Cricetulus griseus: one gene and its partners. The protein of the gene in region 2 interacts with the protein of the main gene of each other region in a biochemical or structural test. Links are inferred from orthologs where the notes say so. Each region holds a gene or a part of one and is shown on either strand. Other genes may lie near its edges.

What was found. The genes of interacting proteins can lie anywhere in the genome.
Region 1: the proteins of Prmt5 (region 2) and Coprs form a complex in vitro, tested with the Homo sapiens proteins (3 studies listed by BioGRID, with this or other methods). The link is inferred for Cricetulus griseus from reciprocal best matches to the Homo sapiens genes PRMT5 and COPRS.
Region 3: the proteins of Prmt5 (region 2) and Snrpd1 form a complex in vitro, tested with the Homo sapiens proteins (2 studies listed by BioGRID, with this or other methods). The link is inferred for Cricetulus griseus from reciprocal best matches to the Homo sapiens genes PRMT5 and SNRPD1.

The regions. Positions count from the first base shown.
Region 1 is NW_023276807.1:66,984,336-66,990,490, reverse strand, and holds the start of Coprs (coordinator of PRMT5 and differentiation stimulator), read right to left. Parts: upstream 3,598-6,155; 5' UTR 3,515-3,597; coding exon 3,446-3,514; intron 465-3,445; coding exon 398-464; intron 1-397. UniProt on the Homo sapiens protein: Histone-binding protein required for histone H4 methyltransferase activity of PRMT5.
Region 2 is NW_023276807.1:209,732,645-209,738,847, reverse strand, and holds the start of Prmt5 (protein arginine N-methyltransferase 5), read left to right. Parts: upstream 1-1,967; 5' UTR 1,968-2,013; coding exon 2,014-2,123; intron 2,124-2,725; coding exon 2,726-2,844; intron 2,845-3,110; coding exon 3,111-3,196; intron 3,197-4,187; coding exon 4,188-4,322; intron 4,323-4,785; coding exon 4,786-4,898; intron 4,899-5,023; coding exon 5,024-5,073; intron 5,074-6,203. UniProt on the Homo sapiens protein: Arginine methyltransferase that can both catalyze the formation of omega-N monomethylarginine (MMA) and symmetrical dimethylarginine (sDMA), with a preference for the formation of MMA.
Region 3 is NC_048595.1:225,868,297-225,874,433, reverse strand, and holds the start of Snrpd1 (small nuclear ribonucleoprotein Sm D1), read left to right. Parts: upstream 1-2,540; 5' UTR 2,541-2,683; coding exon 2,684-2,697; intron 2,698-6,137. UniProt on the Homo sapiens protein: Plays a role in pre-mRNA splicing as a core component of the spliceosomal U1, U2, U4 and U5 small nuclear ribonucleoproteins (snRNPs), the building blocks of the spliceosome.

The DNA of each region.
Region 1 (6,155 bases), about 140 Mb from region 2:
TTATCTTCTCATGCAACCCTAAAACCAACCCTAGGGGTATCATCAGCCCACTTTACAGATATAGAAAGGCTAAGTGACTTATTTTTCACTATGGATGAAAAAAATGCAAGTCCAAGGACAATAACCTGGACCTGAAATAATTTTTCTAGTGACATACTGTGTGCTTTTCAGTGCCCCGTGTGGTTCCTCCCAGTGAAATGGGGTGGTTTGGATCCACACAAAGTCTAGAACTTCCTTGAAGCTTCCAAATGGAGGGTCCCATGGGAACAATGGGCAAAGAAGGTAGCTCATTGGCAAAGAGGACTGACTAGCAAGAAAAGGTACCCAAGACTAAGAGACTGTCAGACTGTTTTCTCTCCACCTCTTCCAGCATCCACCCCAGTCTCTGTCTACTTGCCTAGTCGGTCCATGGCCATCTCAGTCTCTGTCTCCTGACCAGAAAGGTCAGCTGCGGCAAAGCTTGCCTGTGGAAGAAGAAATCATTACCAGAAACTCAGGCATCTGGGACATGTCACCACCTTGACGCTCTGAGCCCACCATCCCACCATCCCACAGTGCCCTTCACACTTCGGGGCTTGCACCTGCTGGCTAGAGATAGCGGGGTCGTAGGCATCACCCCAACAACACTTCTCCACCCAGACCACTGAGAATGCCTTCTTGCAGTGGCCAACTGACAGCTGCAGGTTTTGATCTCATCTAGGGCCCTCTTCAGAAGTCTGGGTACCAGGGCCTCTCCATGATCAGAGACCCTAGAGCCAATCTGGACAGCTCCTGGGTCTCAGGGTTTGTAATTCCAGGTCTGTCTATAAACCCTTTCCTCTATCATTTTAACAGCTCTAACCATTCCTTTTTCTTGGCCAGGATTGGTAGCTGTTTCCTGCACCTGCCACTTCTCTGCACACCTTCCCCTTTTCAGTTACTTGGCCTCATATCTAACAGCTCCTTTTTTACATTTTATGTTCACTGGTGTTTGCCTGCATGTATGTCTGTGTGAGGATGCTGGATCCTCTGGAACTGGAGTCAAAAAGACAGCTGTGAGCTACCAGGTGGGTGCTGGGAAGAGCAGCCAGCACTCCCAACCACTGATCCATCTCTCCAGCCCCTAACAATTCCTTTTTAACAGTGTCTCCCAAGTGGTACGTGGGGAACCAGAGTTTTAGTTCCTAAACAGTGAAAGGAACACTTATATCCCCACTGCCAACCAAGTAATTTTATGCCCCATTACTTCAAAAGTCCCCCAGACTTTATTGTCCTCAATATCTCTCTCCAATGGAACCAGTTAATGTCTACAGCTTGAGTCATTAGGCCAGATTTCAACGAGCCCTGTCATGCGCTCAGGGTGTGACCCCTGGAAACTGGAGGTGGTTGTTCTGACCTTGCAGAGGTCCTATGTTGACAGAACAATTATGAAAACACCTAATACAGGCTGGAGATGTAGCTCAGTTGGTAGTGTTTGCTTAGTATGCTCAGTGTCCCAGGCTGATTTTCCAGCACTACATAAGAGCAAGCATGATGTCACATACTCGTAATCTCTGCATTTGGGAAGTGGGGGCAGGAGGATCAGAAGTTCAAGGTCCTTGGTCACAGAGTGAGCTCCTGGGCTACAAGAGACCCTGTCTCCAAAACTACAATTAAAGGCAACAACAATAACAAAACCGCTGGGCGCTGGTGGCGCACGCCTTTTAATCCCAGCACTCAAGAGGCAGAGACAGGCGGATCTCTGTGAGTTCAAGGCCAGCCTGGTCTCCAAAGCGAGTGCCAGGATGGGTTCCAAAGCTACACAGAGAAATCCTGTCTTGAAAAACCAAAAAAATTAAAAAAAAAAAAAAACGGGGAGGGGGCTATGAGAATGAGAAGGGAAGAAGAGGAAGGATGCAGAGGTCATGAGGGAGCAGAAAGGTTGAATCAGGTCAAGAAGAAAGGGTATGTGATAGGTAGGGTTTTAGTTGGGGGCGGTGGTAGGGAAGGGAGGGAGGGAGAAGGGAACTGGGATTGTCATGTAAATCAATCTTGTTTCTAATTCAAACAAAAAATGATTAAAAACAATAACAAAACCACCTGTTAGACTGCAGAAGTAATGTTTCTCTGACTTAAATTCATTTTATTTTTTAAAGTTTTTATGTATTTATATATTTACATCTATTTGCTTGTGTGTGAATGTACGAAGAGGAGGAGGTGTTGGATCCCTTGGAGAGGGAATTGCAGGTGGCTCTGAGCCACCTATGGTGGTTGCTGGGAACCAAACCAAACTCTGTGACACCATCACCATACTAGCTCTCCAATCTTACACAAACTTTTCATCATATACCTGTACTTAGCACACACCTTAGTTAACATTCATTATCCAGTCATGACTGGATTTTTAATGATTCAATTCCACCTCCTGTGGTCAGTGATAACCCGTAGCCACAACTCACTGCTGTCCCCCAAGGTGTTGGAGCAAATGGGTGCAATACAGCCTTTTCCTATGACCCCAGAGCTTGGGCCCTAGAGCAGGCCTTTTACCGGAAGAGGTCTATGTTCAAGCAAGTCGGTGAACGTGAGAGGCAACATTACTCTATTTCTGACCTCCAGGCCTTTGGTGGGGCTCTGCCTTCTCTAACAAAATTAGTGCCCTCCTCTTCTGTAAAACTAATATTCTTTGCGAATCTATTGCTACCGTTGCTGCAAGTACCATCTTGGATGCTCAAGCAAGCATTCCATTCATGCACCCAATTAGCATACACATTGTGTCAGGCACATGGTGTGTCTTCTGGTAAACAGGACGCCTATTTACAGTCAAGCTTGTTGTAGATGGAGATGGTCGCTGCTTAAGGGCAGGTCATAGGAAACCGCTGTATTGCACCCACTTGAAAAAGAAGTTTCTGGAAACCCCGTGTCACCAGGGGCCTTTCCGTTTCATCAAATGGGAAAAAGAACCGGTGACATCTAACGTCCAAGGTCAGCTGCACATCCCCACCAACGGCCGGAGGTCCTCAAGGTTAAAAAAAAAAAAAAAAAAAGTCCTAGCCGGGCGTTGGTGGCACACGCCTCTAATCCCTGCACTCGGGAGGCAGAGGCAGGCGGATCTTTGTGAGTTCGAGGCCAGCCTGGTCTCCAGAGCGAGTGCCAGGATAGACTCCAAAGCTACAGTGAAACCCTGTCTCGGAAAAAAAAAAAAAAGTCCGTTTCCTCGTCGCTCCCATCTGACCCGGCCCCCAGCTCCACCTTCCCTCCATTCCTGCCACAGAGGCTCCCGAGCAGCCCCAGTTTCCCTCTTTCTCCTTCCAGTGCCTGCTACAACCCCAGGTCCCCGCGCGCTCCCGCCGTTACGGCCCGGCTCTGCGCGTGCTCGCGGGGGGGGGCGGCGTTTCCCGAGTGAGCGGCCTTCCCGAAGCGCGCGAGCCCCGCGGCTTCCAGCCCGGGGGATCGCATGGGCCCGCGCTCCCCACCCCGTGGCGCTTACCTCCGCGTTGGGGACCTGCCGCGCACTTGGCTCGCCGGACCCCTGACCGGTGGCCTCCTGAGGGTCCATGCCCCGCCGCCCACAGCTAGGCGACCGGGGACACTCCGGCACGTGACGGCCCACAAGCTGCAGAGGGGCCAATCGGCGCGGAGCAGCCACCGAGGGGGCGGGGCGGCGCAGGGGCAGCGGTGCCGGACGACACGCCCACCTGCATCGTGCCGGGACCACAGGCTCCCGAGCTCATTCTGACATCTCTGGTTTAGAGCCTTATGGCGGCGGACTGGGCACTGTGCCTTCCCCATCGCACTATTAAATGACCAGAGTCCACCCGAAAGCTTAGAAAGCCCAGACGTCGACACGGTCAGAGCCGCTGCTGCTCCATCACTTTTCACTCCACCCCATCGCAGGCTGTTCCAGATTTCAGGCTGCACCAGGACCACAGCATCCAATAATGAGTAAAATAACTCAGCAGCCTGGAGACTTGTCAGCTTGGCATACTGATCGCTTTTGAAGTCAACGTGCTCCCCAGAAACATTCTGGGTTTGTGTTATTGAACTTGGAAGTCACAACCTGTGCCCCAAGTAAGTAATGTGACTACGTTGGATAACTCTCCATTTTCTTCTTCCCACGATTAGTTTGGCTGTTTTTAATGGCTTATTGAGGATGGATACCTGAACCTGACTTGGGGCTCAGATTGTGACCCCCGAGTTCAGTAACAGTTGGGCAGCAGAAATTGACCAAATCTCCATCTTTCAATGGGCAATGTCTCCAATCTGGTTATTTCCCTGTTGCCTCGGAGACAAAAGTCAGCAGCTAGCTGCAGGTAGAGTGTACATGTGTGTATGTATGTTTGGATGGATGCATGGATTTGAATGACCCAGCTGTACAGACAGCTTTTACTGCCACCCTCCCCAGCATGACTTAAACTCTAGCAACAAACTACTTGAAGGCATGGTTATCAGGAAAGCTGGGATTCCTTATGACATTGTTTGGAACACCAGCATCTTCATCTCCCTTAAATAGTATGTTGCCATAAGGCATTAAACATCTTTTTTTGTTTGTTTTGTTTCTCTGTAGCTTTGTAGCCTATCCTGGCACTCGCTCTGGAGACCAGGCTGACCTCGAACTCACAAAGATCCGCATGCCTCTGCCTCCCGAGTGCTGGGATTAAAGGCGTGCACCACCAACGCCCGGCTAAACATCTTTTTTATGCAGATAAAATTGATTCATATTATGTTATTCTTTTTTCTTTACATAGTCTTTACATAGTACGGAGTATGACCAGTTCATGTGTGTTCTGTTCCGTTGTTATTTCTTCAAATCTAACAGACTCCAAGTCAGCACTGCCCAGGGACTCTTCTTCAATGGCAGAAATAAAAGCTCTTGATCTGTGCTGTCACTATGGTAACCACGTGTTTACCTAGCATTTAAAATATCGTCAATATGAAAAGAAACACAATTATTTAATTTCAGATATAAATTGGTAAATGTGGCCATCACAACTAACTACAACTCTATGAATTGATTATGCATATTTTATAATATGCAATGGGGAGAACTGTATATAGCAATACAATAACCCAAGGGTGGCCAGAGGTCACAATAGGGTGTCTCTCTTAGTCACCATTCTATTGCTGTGAAGAGACACCATGGCCAAGGCAACTCTTACAAAAGAAAGCATTTAATTTGCTTACAGTTTCAGAGGTTCAGTCCCTTACCGTCATGGCAGGAAGCAGGGCAACAGGCATAAAAAGCACGGTGCTGGAGAAGCAGTTGAGAGCGGCCTTCTGATCTGCAAGCAGAAAGGTATACTGGGCCTGGCACCAGCTTTTGAAACCTCAAAGCCCACCCCTAGTGACACACCTCCATCAACAAGGCCACACCTCCTAACCTTTCTAATCCTATCAGAGTTCCCCTTCTTAGTGACTAAGCATTCAAATATGTGATCCTAAGGGGAACAACTTATTTAAATCACCTCAGGTCTTGATTGCTCTCCATCTTAAATGTTGAGACAACATCTCTCACTGAACTTGGAGTTCATTGATTAGGCAATTAGGGATCCTCCTGTCTCCATTTCTCCAACGCTCTGTTACAGGGCTTTTCGCCGGTGATCCAAACTTAGGTCCTTATTCTTTTGTGCTAAGCATTTACTTACTGAGCCATCTCCCTAGCTCCCTAGCCCCTAAGATTCTTCAGTGATGTAGAGAAACAACATATTGTTAAGGGAAGCTTTTTTTTTTTTTTTTTGTAAGATTTACTTATTATGTATATAGTGTTCTGCCTACATACCAGAAGAGGGCACCAGATTCACTATAGATGGTTGTGAGCCACCATGTGGTTGCTGAGAATTGAACTCAGGATCTCTAGAAGAGCAGCCAGTGCTCTTAACCTCTGAGCCATCTCTCCAGACCGGTTAAGTGAAACTTAACTCTAATAAAACTGTGTTGACTGTTTCTCCAGTGACAGCTGATGTTATGGTAGAGGATGTAATTCACACTGATGAATGTTTCCTCCATGTTATCAGAATATCCTTCTCTGCCCCCAGCTTTGTTTCTGAGCCCCTCCTTCCCCGCTGAGACCCTTCTCCACTCCTCTCAGGGTGCTCTTCTTTCCTTGCGAAGCCTTTAAATGTAAACAGTCCTTTACTTATCAGTCTTTGGAATAAATAAAATATATTTCACAGTCTATGCCTTCTCCAAGGATGCTCCCC
Region 2 (6,203 bases):
CCTGCATAAGATCCCAGAGAAGCAAGCCGGGCGTTGGTGGTGCATGCCTTTAATCCCAGCACTCGGTTGGCAGAGGCAGGCGGATCTCTGTGAGTTCCAGACCAGCCTGGTCTCCAGAGCGAGTGGCAGGACAGCCTCCAAAGCCACAGAGAAACCCTGTCTCGAAAAAAAAAAAAAAAAACCCCAAAAAACAAAAACAAAGATCCGGGAGCAGCAAAAGGGGGGGTGGGGGGTGGGGGGTGGGGGTGGGTGGGGTGAAGGTGGGGGTGGGGGGTGTGGTGGTGAAGGTGGGGGTGGGAGTGGGGGTGGGGGGTGTGGTGGTGATGGTGGTGTGGTGAAGGTGGGAGTGGGGTGGGGTGGTTGTTGGTGGGGGTGGTGGGGTGGTGTGATGGTGGTGGTGGTGTGATGGGTTGTTGTTGTTGGTGAAGGTGGTGTGATGGGTTGGTGGTGGTGGTGGTGAAGGTGGTGTGATGGGTTGCTGTTGTTGGTGTGATGGGTGGGTGGTGGTGGTGGTACAAAAGCATCCTCAACCCCTCATTGTGAATTTTCTTGGTTTTCTGGTTTCCTGGCTGTTCTTGGGGTGCGGGGTGGGGGGGACTTACGTTACCCAGGGTTCCTTAGAGCCTATTTTCTCCACGCCTTCCTGTGTTGCTAAGAGCACTGTCCTCCATAATCCATGGTGACCTCACTAGTCAAGACTCCTGTCTGGAAACGTCCAAATACGTGTGGTTCAGATCATTGTCCCTGCAGCTCTCTATCACACGGCGCTCTCTGGATGGCCAGTCTGCACCCCGAACCCCAAATCCGATTCTCCCTGAACTCTCCCACTTCAAGGGCAAAACGCTGCTGCGTGGCATTACTATTTCCCCCTCCCGGTTCCTTGCTACCGAGTCCCTGAATTCTGTCAGTGCCTTTTAACTTTTTTGTTTATTTGTTTGTTTGTTTGTTTTGTCAAAGCTGACACAAGGCAGAGGGAACTTCAGCTGAGAAAATGCCTCCACAGATTGGCCTGGAGGGTCCTCAACGTCTGTGGGCTTCTTGCCTCAGGTACGTGTTTCCCGTTCCCTTCCGAGGTTCTTCCTTGCCTGTGCCATTTCCTTCTTTTCCAGCTGTTGACAGGGGGAAACGTAGGTTCTCTCGGCCCTCCGCGAGGCAGTTTCATGACTCCTGGGCACTGTAATCGCTCATGAATTCCTTTTCTCTGAGGGGTGCGCGCGCGGGCAGGTGTTTCTTTACATCTGTGCTTGAGACAGAATCACTAGGAATTAGTGGCTAAGTTACTACAGAGTATTTTTTAAGTGTAGTATTTTTTAAGCATAGTAATGAGACAAAGCTCATCTTAATAGTCCATTCACCGAAATTTTCATGCTCAGATTCACTTAATTATACAAGAAACAGCTTTGAAAAGAGGAATGAGACACGCCAGCATGGGATGGCTGAAATACCGAACCAGGTTAAGACCTGGAAATGACAGCGTAAGCAGATAGTGAAGGAAGTACAGCGGTTGTGAGACAAGAGCAAAACGTTACAGGACTAGTGGGGTTTAGGAACACTGGGTTAGCAAGGGATGCAAATAAAGGAGTACCAGTCCCAACGAGCCAGCCAGGAGTCGAACCTGGAATCTTCTGATCCGTAGTCAGACGCGTTATCCATTGCGCCACTGGCCCGCAGACATTTTGTGGTAGCCCAATGATAGTACTTCAGGCTAACTGCAGGGTTGCATGGGACCTGTAGTCTTTCTCCGGAGTGCTTCAGACGGATGCGGCATTCTGGGAGATTGCAGAGCCTCAGCAGTGACGGCCTGTCATTGGTCGAGCCGGGGAGCCACGCCTACGTCACGGTGCGGCCTGTGGATTGGCGGGAGCGGCCGCTCGGTCCCTCCGCCTCCGCTCGGGAGCTGCGAAGACGCTCTGGTTGTTAAGGCGACTTGTCCCGCCTCCCGGGGACTGCTCTCGGCGTTGTGATTGGTCCCTAGTAGCAAGGAATCCCGGCGTGGGCCGCGCGAGGGAAAAGATGGCGGCGATGGCAGTCGGAGGTGCCGGTGGCAGCCGCGTGTCCAGCGGGAGGGACCTGAATTGCGTCCCCGAAATAGCTGACACACTGGGTGCTGTGGCCAAGCAGGGGTGAGGAATGCGGGATCCAAATTGGGGACCAAGGAGGGCAGACTAGTTCCCCGCAGGGGATGAGGGCTGGAGACACCATTACTCCTTGAGTGGGGACGACTTCGGTTCCAGGAACGAGAGGATGAAACTCTGGGAGGCGTGTGGTCACCGAGTTCAAAAGTCAGGGGAGTTGTTGGGTAAATTAAAGGCGGGACGCGAGTCAGTCCGTCTAGGGCCTTGGAGGCTAAGATTATTTGAGAGGAGAAAGAAGTATTTTAAGGGGGCAAACGAGAGAAGAGGTTAATCTGGCTGGGGGAGGCATGGCAGTATTGGGACAAATCTGGATTTGATAGCCCTGGAAAGCCAGTGTTATCAGGGAAGAAAGAATGCTATTTGCCTTGGATGTCCTTCTTTTCTCAGTCATCTTTCATGGCTATGTTTTGGGAAGAAATTGATGCACAGTGCAGAGAAAGTTAAATGTCCCAAGATGGGCTGAACTCAGTAGCCCCGGGGGGTGACTGATGGCTTTATAGAACTGTGCAAAATCAAGATAGTTTAAACCCAGTTGGTTGATCTCTGGGTCCTCACTTTCCATGATAATTCTGAGTCTGTCGCGGTTGTAGGTTTGATTTCCTCTGCATGCCTGTCTTCCACCCGCGTTTCAAGAGGGAGTTCACTCAGGAACCTGCTAAGAATCGACCTGGCCCCCAGACACGATCAGACCTACTGCTGTCAGGAAGGGGTAGGGACCATCCCGTGTGCCCCTTGATTGTTAGAGGCAGTAATAACTTCTGCTTTATAGGTCTTCAATTCCCTCCTTTTCTGACTTGGTTGTACTGGCTAACCCCTGTGATATAGGTAACTCCCCCATTCTTCAGGCTATCCCTGTATCTGAGAGAAAAAGGCTTGTTTTCATCTCTACTCTATTTCCTGCTGAGAACTAGAAATTGAGCAAGAAAATGCCAGACCTCATTGAGTCTTTGTCTTTTCTTGGGTGGGGGAGTGCAGACTGGAATACGCTAATTGTGGGAAAGCTTTCTCCGTGGATTCGTCCAGACTCCAAAGTGGAGAGGATCCGAAGGAACTCTGAAGCGGTAAGGCTGTTTGGTTTTTCTGTGGGGTCCTTTTTTTTTTTTTTTTTTGGTTTTTTTTTCGAGACAGGGTTTCTCTGTGTAGCTTTGGAGCCTATCCTGGCACTCGCTTTGGAGATCAGGCTGGCCTTGAATTCACAGAGATCCGACTGCCTCTGCCTCCCAAGTGCTGGGATTAAAGGCCTGCGCCACCAACGCCTGGCTCTGACCTAGGTCTGACCTAGGTGCTGTGACCCACCCCTACCTGTAACCTCAGTGTTGGGGAGGCATTCCACACCGGAAGATAATGAGGGAGGATTGAGAGTTCCAAGCCAGAAAAGAAAAGGAGGGTGGGAAAAAAGGAAAGAAATTAGTTCTGTCATCAAATTGGGTTAGGAGAGTAACTCCCACTCCCCAGAACCTGGTAAATCAGAGTACAGTTAAGAGTCTGACCCTGGGTGTGGTGACTCACATCTGTAACTCAGCAGAGGCCATCCTCGAACTGAGTTGGATGCCAGCTTGGTCTACAGAGAGAGAGTTCCCGGCCTGTCAGGGCTACATACTAAGACCCTATTTCATTCCAGTTTTAATGTATGTGCTGCTGAAGTGAGCATATGATCCTGTTGCCCTCTTCAAAACAAAAAAAAAAAAAAATAGTTTGAGTTCAAGACTAGCCTGGTCTACATAGTTCTAGGATAGTCAGGACTATGTAGACAGACCCTGTCTCAAAAAGACAAAAATAACTGAGCAGTAGTGGCATCCGCATTTAATCCCAGCACTTGGGAGGCAGAGGCAGGCGGATCTCTAAGTTCGAGGCCAGCCTGGTCTACAAAGCTGGGTTCCAGGACTGTGGAGGCTGAGTGAGGAGGATTGCCTCCAATTCAAGGCCAAATTGAGTTACATAGGGAATTCCTGACAGCCTGGGCCACAATACCAGATCCAGTTTAAACTCCTCTCTACCCAGGAAGTATTTGGTTCCTAGTTCTTAATGGCTTTTTCTTTCCATGTGTTTCAGGCTATGTTACAGGAGCTGAATTTCGGGGCATATCTGGGTCTTCCAGCTTTTCTGTTGCCCCTGAATCAGGAAGATAACACAAACCTGGCCAGAGTTTTGACCAACCACATCCATACTGGCCACCACTCTTCCATGGTAGGCTTCTGTGCTGCTGAGTATCATGATAGTCAGCTGTGTGAAGTGACTTTTGCCTAGTTATGCCCCAGTGCTTTTGGCCGAATTGAAATGTCAGTACTGCCCATCCCACCCAACCCCCAATTTTGAAGTGGCATGGAGAGAGCTTCAAGCAGAATCTATGGGCTTAGAGGTGCAGCTCAGTGGTAATCACTTGCCTAACATACATGAGCCTCTGGGTAAGAGTCTTAGCACTATAAAACAATGCCAAATCATAGAAAATGCTTGTTTCTAGCTAAAATAAAAGACAAGGGAGGTATTTGCATAAGGATGTGTATAAGATATTAAACACGGATGTAATCAAATTCAGAAGGGCATATAAAGAGATTAACTTGAGATCTGGATCAAGATCTTTTGAGGGAAGCTTTCTGGACCCAATTAGTTGAAAACAGTGTTCTAACTAATGGTAACTGTTCATATGCAGTTCTGGATGAGGGTGCCCTTGGTGGCTCCAGAGGACCTGAGAGATGATGTCATTGAGAATGTCCCAACTACACACACAGAGGAGTACAGTGGGGAAGAGAAGACGTGGATGTGGTATGTCTCCTCTTGGCGCTTTACCTGTATGGGGTGGGGTAAGGAATATTGAGGAACTGGTAGAAGAGCTCCTTGAGTCATAAGCCATATGCATTTGACAGTGTTTTGTTTCTGAATCTGGGCAGGTGGCATAACTTCAGGACTCTGTGTGATTATAGCAAGAGAATTGCAGTAGGTAAGTGCACAAGGGTCCTGGGATAGGAGGAACCCCGTAAGAGTAAGAATCAGCAGGCTGGGTGCGGTGGCCCACCACTTTTCATCCCAGGGCTTGGGAATCAGAGTCCAGTAGATCTTTTTGAATTCAAGGCTAGCCTGGTCTACTTAGTGAGTTCGAGGATGGCCAGAATTATGTAGACAGACTCTATCTCACAAAACAAAGCAAAACCCCCAAATAGCCAATCGGTGGTGGTGGTACACGCCTTTAATCCCAGCACTTGGGAGGCAGAGGCAGACAGATCTCTATGGGTTTGCGGCCAGGCTGGTTTACAGAGTTCCAGGACAGCCAAGGCTACACAGAGTGACCCTGTCTTGGAAAACAAAAACCAAAAATAAGAATTTCAGTTTAGAAAGTTCCAGAACAGTCAGGGCTACATAGAGAGACTGTGGTTGTTTTGTTTTAAAACAAAAACAGCCAGGTGGTGGTAGTTCCAGCCTTTAATAATACAGGAACTTGAGAAGCAGAGGTAGGCAGATACCTGTGGGTTCAAGGCCAATATGATCTACAGAGCTAGTAGTTCTAGGATAGCTAGGGCTGTTACACAGAGAAACCCTGTCTCAGAACAAACAAACAAAAAATCCAGTAATTTCAGGCCTGGAGCAATGGCTCAGTTGAGAGCTCTATTGTGAGGACCAGAGTTCAGATACCAGCACCCACATTGATGGGCTCACAACTGCATATTTACTCTGGCTCCCGAGGATTTGATGACTTCTTCTGGCCTCCATGGGTAACTGCACATACATGCACATAAATAAAGAGAATCTATAAATCTAAAAAAAAAAAAAAAGGAAGATCAACAATTTGGGGGGGGGATGATGTAAGGCAATTGGCAGAGCACTTGGCTTGCCTGTATACATGAAGCCCTAAGTAAGATCCATAGCACACATGAGTAATGGCACATGCCTGAAATCCCAGCACTTAGGAGTATCAGAAGTTCACAGGAAGTTTCAGTACTTACTGGGCTACTTGAGACCCACTCTGAAAATAGAACTAGCACTGACCATTCTATTTTCATGCACCTTTAATCCCCAAACGAGAGGTGGAGCTCTGTGAGTTCGAAGCCATCCAAGACTATACAGTGAGAACCT
Region 3 (6,137 bases), on a different chromosome or scaffold from region 2:
TTTTGAGACAGACTTTCTTTGTGTGATAGTCCTGGCTGTCCTGGAACTTTGTAGACCAGGGTGGCCTTAAACTCACAGAGATTGGACTGAATTTGCCTCCCAAATGCTGGGAATAAAGGCATTCAGCACTACAGCCTGTTGACCATGGCTCTTCTAAGCTTTTCTTTTCTATCTTTCCTTCCTTCCTTCCTTCCTTCCTTCCTTCCTTCCTTCCCTACCTCCTCCTCCTCCTCCTCCTCCTCCTCCTCCTCCTCCTCCTCCTCCTCCTCCTCCTCCTCCTCTCCTCCTTCTCTTTGTTTAGGCTACTTTTGTATAGCCCTGGCTGTCCTGAAACTCACTCTGTAGACCAAACTCAGCAATCCCCCTGCCTCTGCCTCCTGAGTGCTGGGATTAAAGGCATGCACCACCACTGACAATGCTTTTCAATTTAACATCTGAGAGACTCAGCACTAGCATATACATACAATTATACTGGGCCCACATAGCTGAGAGACAATGAATAGGTGTCAGCTAGATTATAAGATTACATGCACAAACATCTGAAAAGATGATGATGAACTTGAGGAATTGCGAGACTTTAGACATTCCTGTGTTACTGAAGGGGAAGAGATGGATCAAAAGGAAGGTGGGGCCCAAGGTGGAAAGGGAATTGTGAATACTAAGGAGTATCAGGTATTCAATGCTGGCATCACTGCAGTGAATGGCATGTAGAAGGTCTTCATCCTTATAAAGCATACATTTGAATGGGGGAGGCATTTCAGTTGTTCGTGACAATTAATCAAAGACTGTAGGTTTATCTCGACATTACTGAAACCATCTTGAGTGGTAACTATTACAATTACACCTGAGTCACCTGGGCCAGCTTTCCAACCATAAAATAGACAAAATCATGAGTGTGTGAAGCCTTATGGCAAGCCTTGGTCTAAGAATAGGCCTGATTCTGATCTGATACTACCTCGAGATAGACCATGTATAGCCTGACTTGGCTGAAATCACTTTTTAGGGGGATGGAAGGTTAGAGATAGAGTCTACTCATATGGTACATGATAGCCTCAAACTTGCACCACCATGCCTAGCTCTGAACTAATTTTTGCCCTATTTCATAACCCACCTGTCTTCTAACCCAAATCTCAAGTTCCTAGGTGGTTTTCTTGATACCCAGGCCCATGCTTCTGTTGTAAGTCACCCATAAACTGCACACTGCAATTCTGGGCTTGCCTGCCTCCCTCTTTGGTTTCATAGGCCTTGGGACCAGTTCCCACACATCGGGACTGGACTATTTTGTGAAGGAGAAGAAGAAGAAGAGGAAGAAGAAGAAGAGGAGGAGGAGGAGGAAGAGGGGGGAGGGGGAGGAGGAGCACATCATATTAAAGCATAAGACTGGAGATACCGGATGTTGGAGAGTGCAATAAACAGATTTTTTTTTTTTTTGCTTTCAGACACTATGTTCTCCTGAGTTCAGTATAAGTAAATAAATAATTGTAAGTGTGGTGATATTTTGTTTGTGATCTAACAAAGCTTGCCTGCAGATCAGAGTGCAGAGCTGGCCACACTAGTTAGCCACAGATGCCAGGCAGTGATGGCACACATCTTTAATCCCAGCACTCAGGAGGCAGAGGCAAGCATAGCTCTGTGAGATCTGGGATACCCCGGGATACATAAGATTGATCCAGTTTAAAAGAGAAAAAAGAGCCAGATGGTGGTGGCTCACACATTTAATCCCAATACTTTAATCCCAGCACTAGGGAGGTAGAGACAGGAGTGGTGTGGCTGGGCAGAGAGAAGCCGGAGGAGACAGGAGTCTGAGGAGGCAGTCAGTCTGAGGACAGGATGGCCCCTTTGGTCTGAACATTGGTAGAGGTAAGAACTCTAGTGGCTGGCTGTTCTGCTTCTCTGACCCTTCAGTTTTTACCCCCTGTCAGCCGAGTCTGAGGCTTTATTAAGAACAATTAGAATTCATGCTCCATGTAAGAATCAAATATAATAAACTAATATTATCCAATCTTCTTGGGATAGTGGAAATTATCTGCACTGTAATCAATGATACATATAGATTTTGAGTAGTTACGATGTGGTTATTGCAAATAAGGAGTTGAATTGTTTTATTTAACTTCATTTGAAATATCCACATAACTTTTTAAGTCGAAGAACTTACTATATAATGAAGGTCTTATTTAAAACTGTCCTGAGAATGGCTTTCCTGTTTTTAAAAAGGTTCTCAGTAGCTCTGGGGTTATTACAAGTCCCCAAAGGAAAACTATTATATACAAAAATCTGATTGGCTCAGCTTAGTTGTCAAACCAACTAGGAGAAACTTGTCGGGCCGGTTCTCTGCTTCCAACATGTGGGCCCCAAGGATTAAAGAAGTCTTGGAGGGGTTCTCTCAGATCTTCTCTTCCTTCCAACTGTGAAAGCGCCAGGCCATTATAAATAGTTTTAAGGTGAATCCTCCTGCAGATGTCTTCCACCAGCCACGCCGCGCTCAGACGGCGCAAAGCACTCCTCCCGTCGCTAGGGGCCGCTGTGGTTGTCCCGGTGGCCGGAAGGCAGCGCGGCTTCCGCGTTTCCACCGCGGATCCGCAGGCCTCCGTGCGCTCTTCCGGCCATTCATACGCCTAGTCGGTGAGTCTTTGGAGCTCGAATTCCGTGTCCAGTAGGACCAGAGGGAGGCTGCGCCGCTAGGATGAAGCTCGTGAGGTGAGGAGGCTCTCCGGGCGGGCCGAAGGCGGCGGGGACAGGGTTTGGGCGGGCTCAGGAAGCCGGGCCTCTGCGCCCTCAGGGAGGCGGGAAAGCCGCGTGCGCGCGGCCTGCTAACGGCCCCCGCGTCCGGGCCCGCCGCGCCCTTCTCGTTGCTGCCGGCGAGGAGCCGGCGCGCCCCGGCCCTGCGCGTCTTCCAAGAATGGGGGAGCCGAGCGGTTTCTGCTCGCCTCGTTTCCTGCGGCTTGAACGGAGCCGAGGCCGCTTTCCCTGGCCAGTCGGGCTGCTTGCACGGACGAGAACTCCAAAGCAGCATGGTTTTATCTGCAAACAACGACGCCGATCTGCTAGACGTTTTAGATAAAGTTCTCCTTTATTTTGGATCGGTTGTATGTAACTGGTTAATGTTGGCTTTCGACTCACGACAGTGTCCCAGGATGGGGCAGAAGTTAAGTTAATTTCGCCTGATTGCAGATTGTGTCGGTTAGTGGAGCTTTGTTTGCTGGTATGAATACTTCCAAACCAAATAGGCATTAGGCAGAGCCCGAAACAGGGTTTAATGCCTAAGCCAGTTAGAAATATTTAGTTTCTTGTTGAGTCAAGGACTGCTTATAGTCACCTGTTAAAAGTAGTGGTACGAGATTTTTCTTTGTGGTTTTTCGAGACAAGGTTTCTCTGTGTAACAGCCCTGGCTGTCCTGCACCTCGCCATGCTGGCCTCGAACTCAGAGGCCTGCCTGAAAAGGATTCAGTCATTATGCTGGCCTGCCCCTGCACTCACACAGTAGTACCCTGGTCAGCCCAGATGCAAAGCATCCCTTTAAAAGAAAGGTCTCTGTCCACTTATGCTCTCTTACCCGCTTTTTTTTTTCCCTCTCTCTCTTTCCTGCTGTTCCCCTGGGGCAGACAGGACTTTTCTTGTCTTTCCTGTCCTCTCTCTGTCTCTGTGTCTCTAACCCCCCTTTTTTTCTAATAATCTTCTCACTTAAGTCCTACTGCCTGGCATGATGTCCTTTCGACTGGGTCATCCTTGCCTGCCATGGAATCCACAAAGGTCCCCCACGAACATTTATCATAACACTGCCTCTGTCTCCGGAGTGTTGGGATTAAAGGCATGACCCATCACCGTCGGGCTACAAGATTTCTTTCTTTTCTGTTTAATGCTGAAGGCAGAACAGGTAACATCTGGTCTGTTTGAAATGACAAACACTCTGTTCAGGGGGAGTTGGAAGAGAAAGCATATAAGGTTAAAAAAAAAATTCCACCTGTTCTGGGGATAGCGCCTAGAGAGCTTCCAATAATCGCTCTACCTTTGACTATAGCTCCAGTTCTTTTGTATTTGGACTGTAACATTAGGTAGAAAGTCTCACAATTTAAAGTATACTCTTGCTGTTTCCCTGCTGCCTGATGTGAACTATCATGTGTTTGCAGTAACTTAGGTTTTTCCCATTTAAAGATTCTGTTACGACAGCTTTGCTTTTGGGTGGTGGTACCTGGGGTGTTACCTCGACTTCCAGCTAGCGTCCTAGGCAAGTGCTCACTCTGTTACTGATATGAACCCAGCCAGGGCTACACAGAGAAACTTCTCAAACAACAACAGCAATGGTAATAATAAGTAAGAGAATTCACAAAATGAAGGATTCACTGAAAAATTGAGACAGGATGTCACCAGGTTGTCTAGAAGTCACTCCATATCCCAGGCTGACTTCAGATTTGGGATCATCCTACTGCAGCCTACTGAATAACTGAGATTACAGATCGGTGCCTACATGTCTTAAGGGAATTTTTTTTAGCAGACTGTTATCTCCTCACCCACTCCCTTGTTTCTGAAAGAATTTCTGCTTCCTGAGTGCTGGATTAAAGATCTTCACCCCCATACTTGGCAATATAATTTTTTTTAAAGATTTTTATTTATTTATTATGTATACAGTCTTCTGCCCGAATGCCAGCAGAGGCACCAGATCTCATTCAAGGTGGTTGTGAGCCACCATGTGGTTGCTGGGAATTGAACTCAGAACCTCTGGAAGAACAGTCAGTGCTCTTAACTGCTGAGCCATCTCTCCAGCCCCCGGCAACATAATTTTTTAAGGTGGGTTCCTTTAAAAGTTGCTGAAACGCTGGACCTGTCTGGTGGTTTTTTATTATTATTATTATTATTATTATTATTATTATTATTATTATTATTATTATTATTATTATGTGCACGGTGTACTCCCAACCGCAGGTCAGAAGAAGGCACCAGATCCCATTATAGATGATTGTGAGCCACCATGTGGTTGCTGGAAATTGAACTCAGAACCTCTGGAAAAGCAACCAGTGCTCTTAACCTCTGAGCCACCTCTCCATCCCCTGAGTGTTTGTTGTAGTCCAGTGTCACCTATAGAAAGGGCCTGCTGCTTTCCTTCATAGTAGAATAGTGGTGAGAATGGAACAGATAATATTACTTGTGCAGTTTGCTGTAGTAGTTTACAAAGGATATTGTAGAAAGATAGACTAGAAAATCTGAATATGAAGTGTTGTTAGATGCTATTGTAGGATTATCTTTCCATGGCCATTTGGCTAAAATAAAGCATGGGTGATGCTGTAGAATTATTTCACTGCATGTAATTGTGGTATTGTGAATTACAGACTAGGAAGTCAGAACATGAGGGGTCTGCTAGGTGCTGCTGTCCAGTTATTGCATGCAATTGTGGTGTTAGGTTTACTTTGGGAGAATGTCCTCACTAATGACAACATCTTACTTTTAGATGGCAAGGTGAAGCTGTAAATACTGAAGAGAAAGAAAGGGAGAAATGGCAACATTTTGATTATCAGTTTTCTTCAATGACAGTATATCGTAATAAAAAAATTATGGCAGAGGTAGAGTAGCTGAAATGAAGGCGACAGATTATTCGTCATGCATTGGCACAACTGGGGACAATTATAAAGGCAGATTTGTTCCTTAGAACAGACAAGAAAGAGGAGAATTCCTGGTGAGCTACATTTCTAAAATATATAAAAGTAAAAGAAGAACACTTTTGCAGTCCTGGTGTGGGAAACATCATCTTAAAACCTGAGTTCCAGAAGGGCCATTACAGAATAAAATGGAAAGAAAAAAGCCAGGGGGCTGGAGAGATGACTCAGGTTATGAGCACTGGTTGCTCTTCCAGGGGATCCAGGTTCAATTCCTAGGACCCACAGCTGTCTGCAGTTGCAGTTCTGGGAATCTCTGATGACCTCTTCTGGCATCTGTAGGTACCAGGAACACATGTTGCACACATACATCAAACAGGCAAAACATTCACACAAAAAATTTAAAAAATTTTGTTTGTTTTTCGAGACAGGGTTTCTCTGTGTGGCCCTGGCTGTCCTAGAGCACTCTTTGTAGTCTGGCCTCAAACTCACAGAAATCCACCTGCCTCTGCCTCCCAAGTTCTGGAACTAAAGGTGTGCACCACCTGG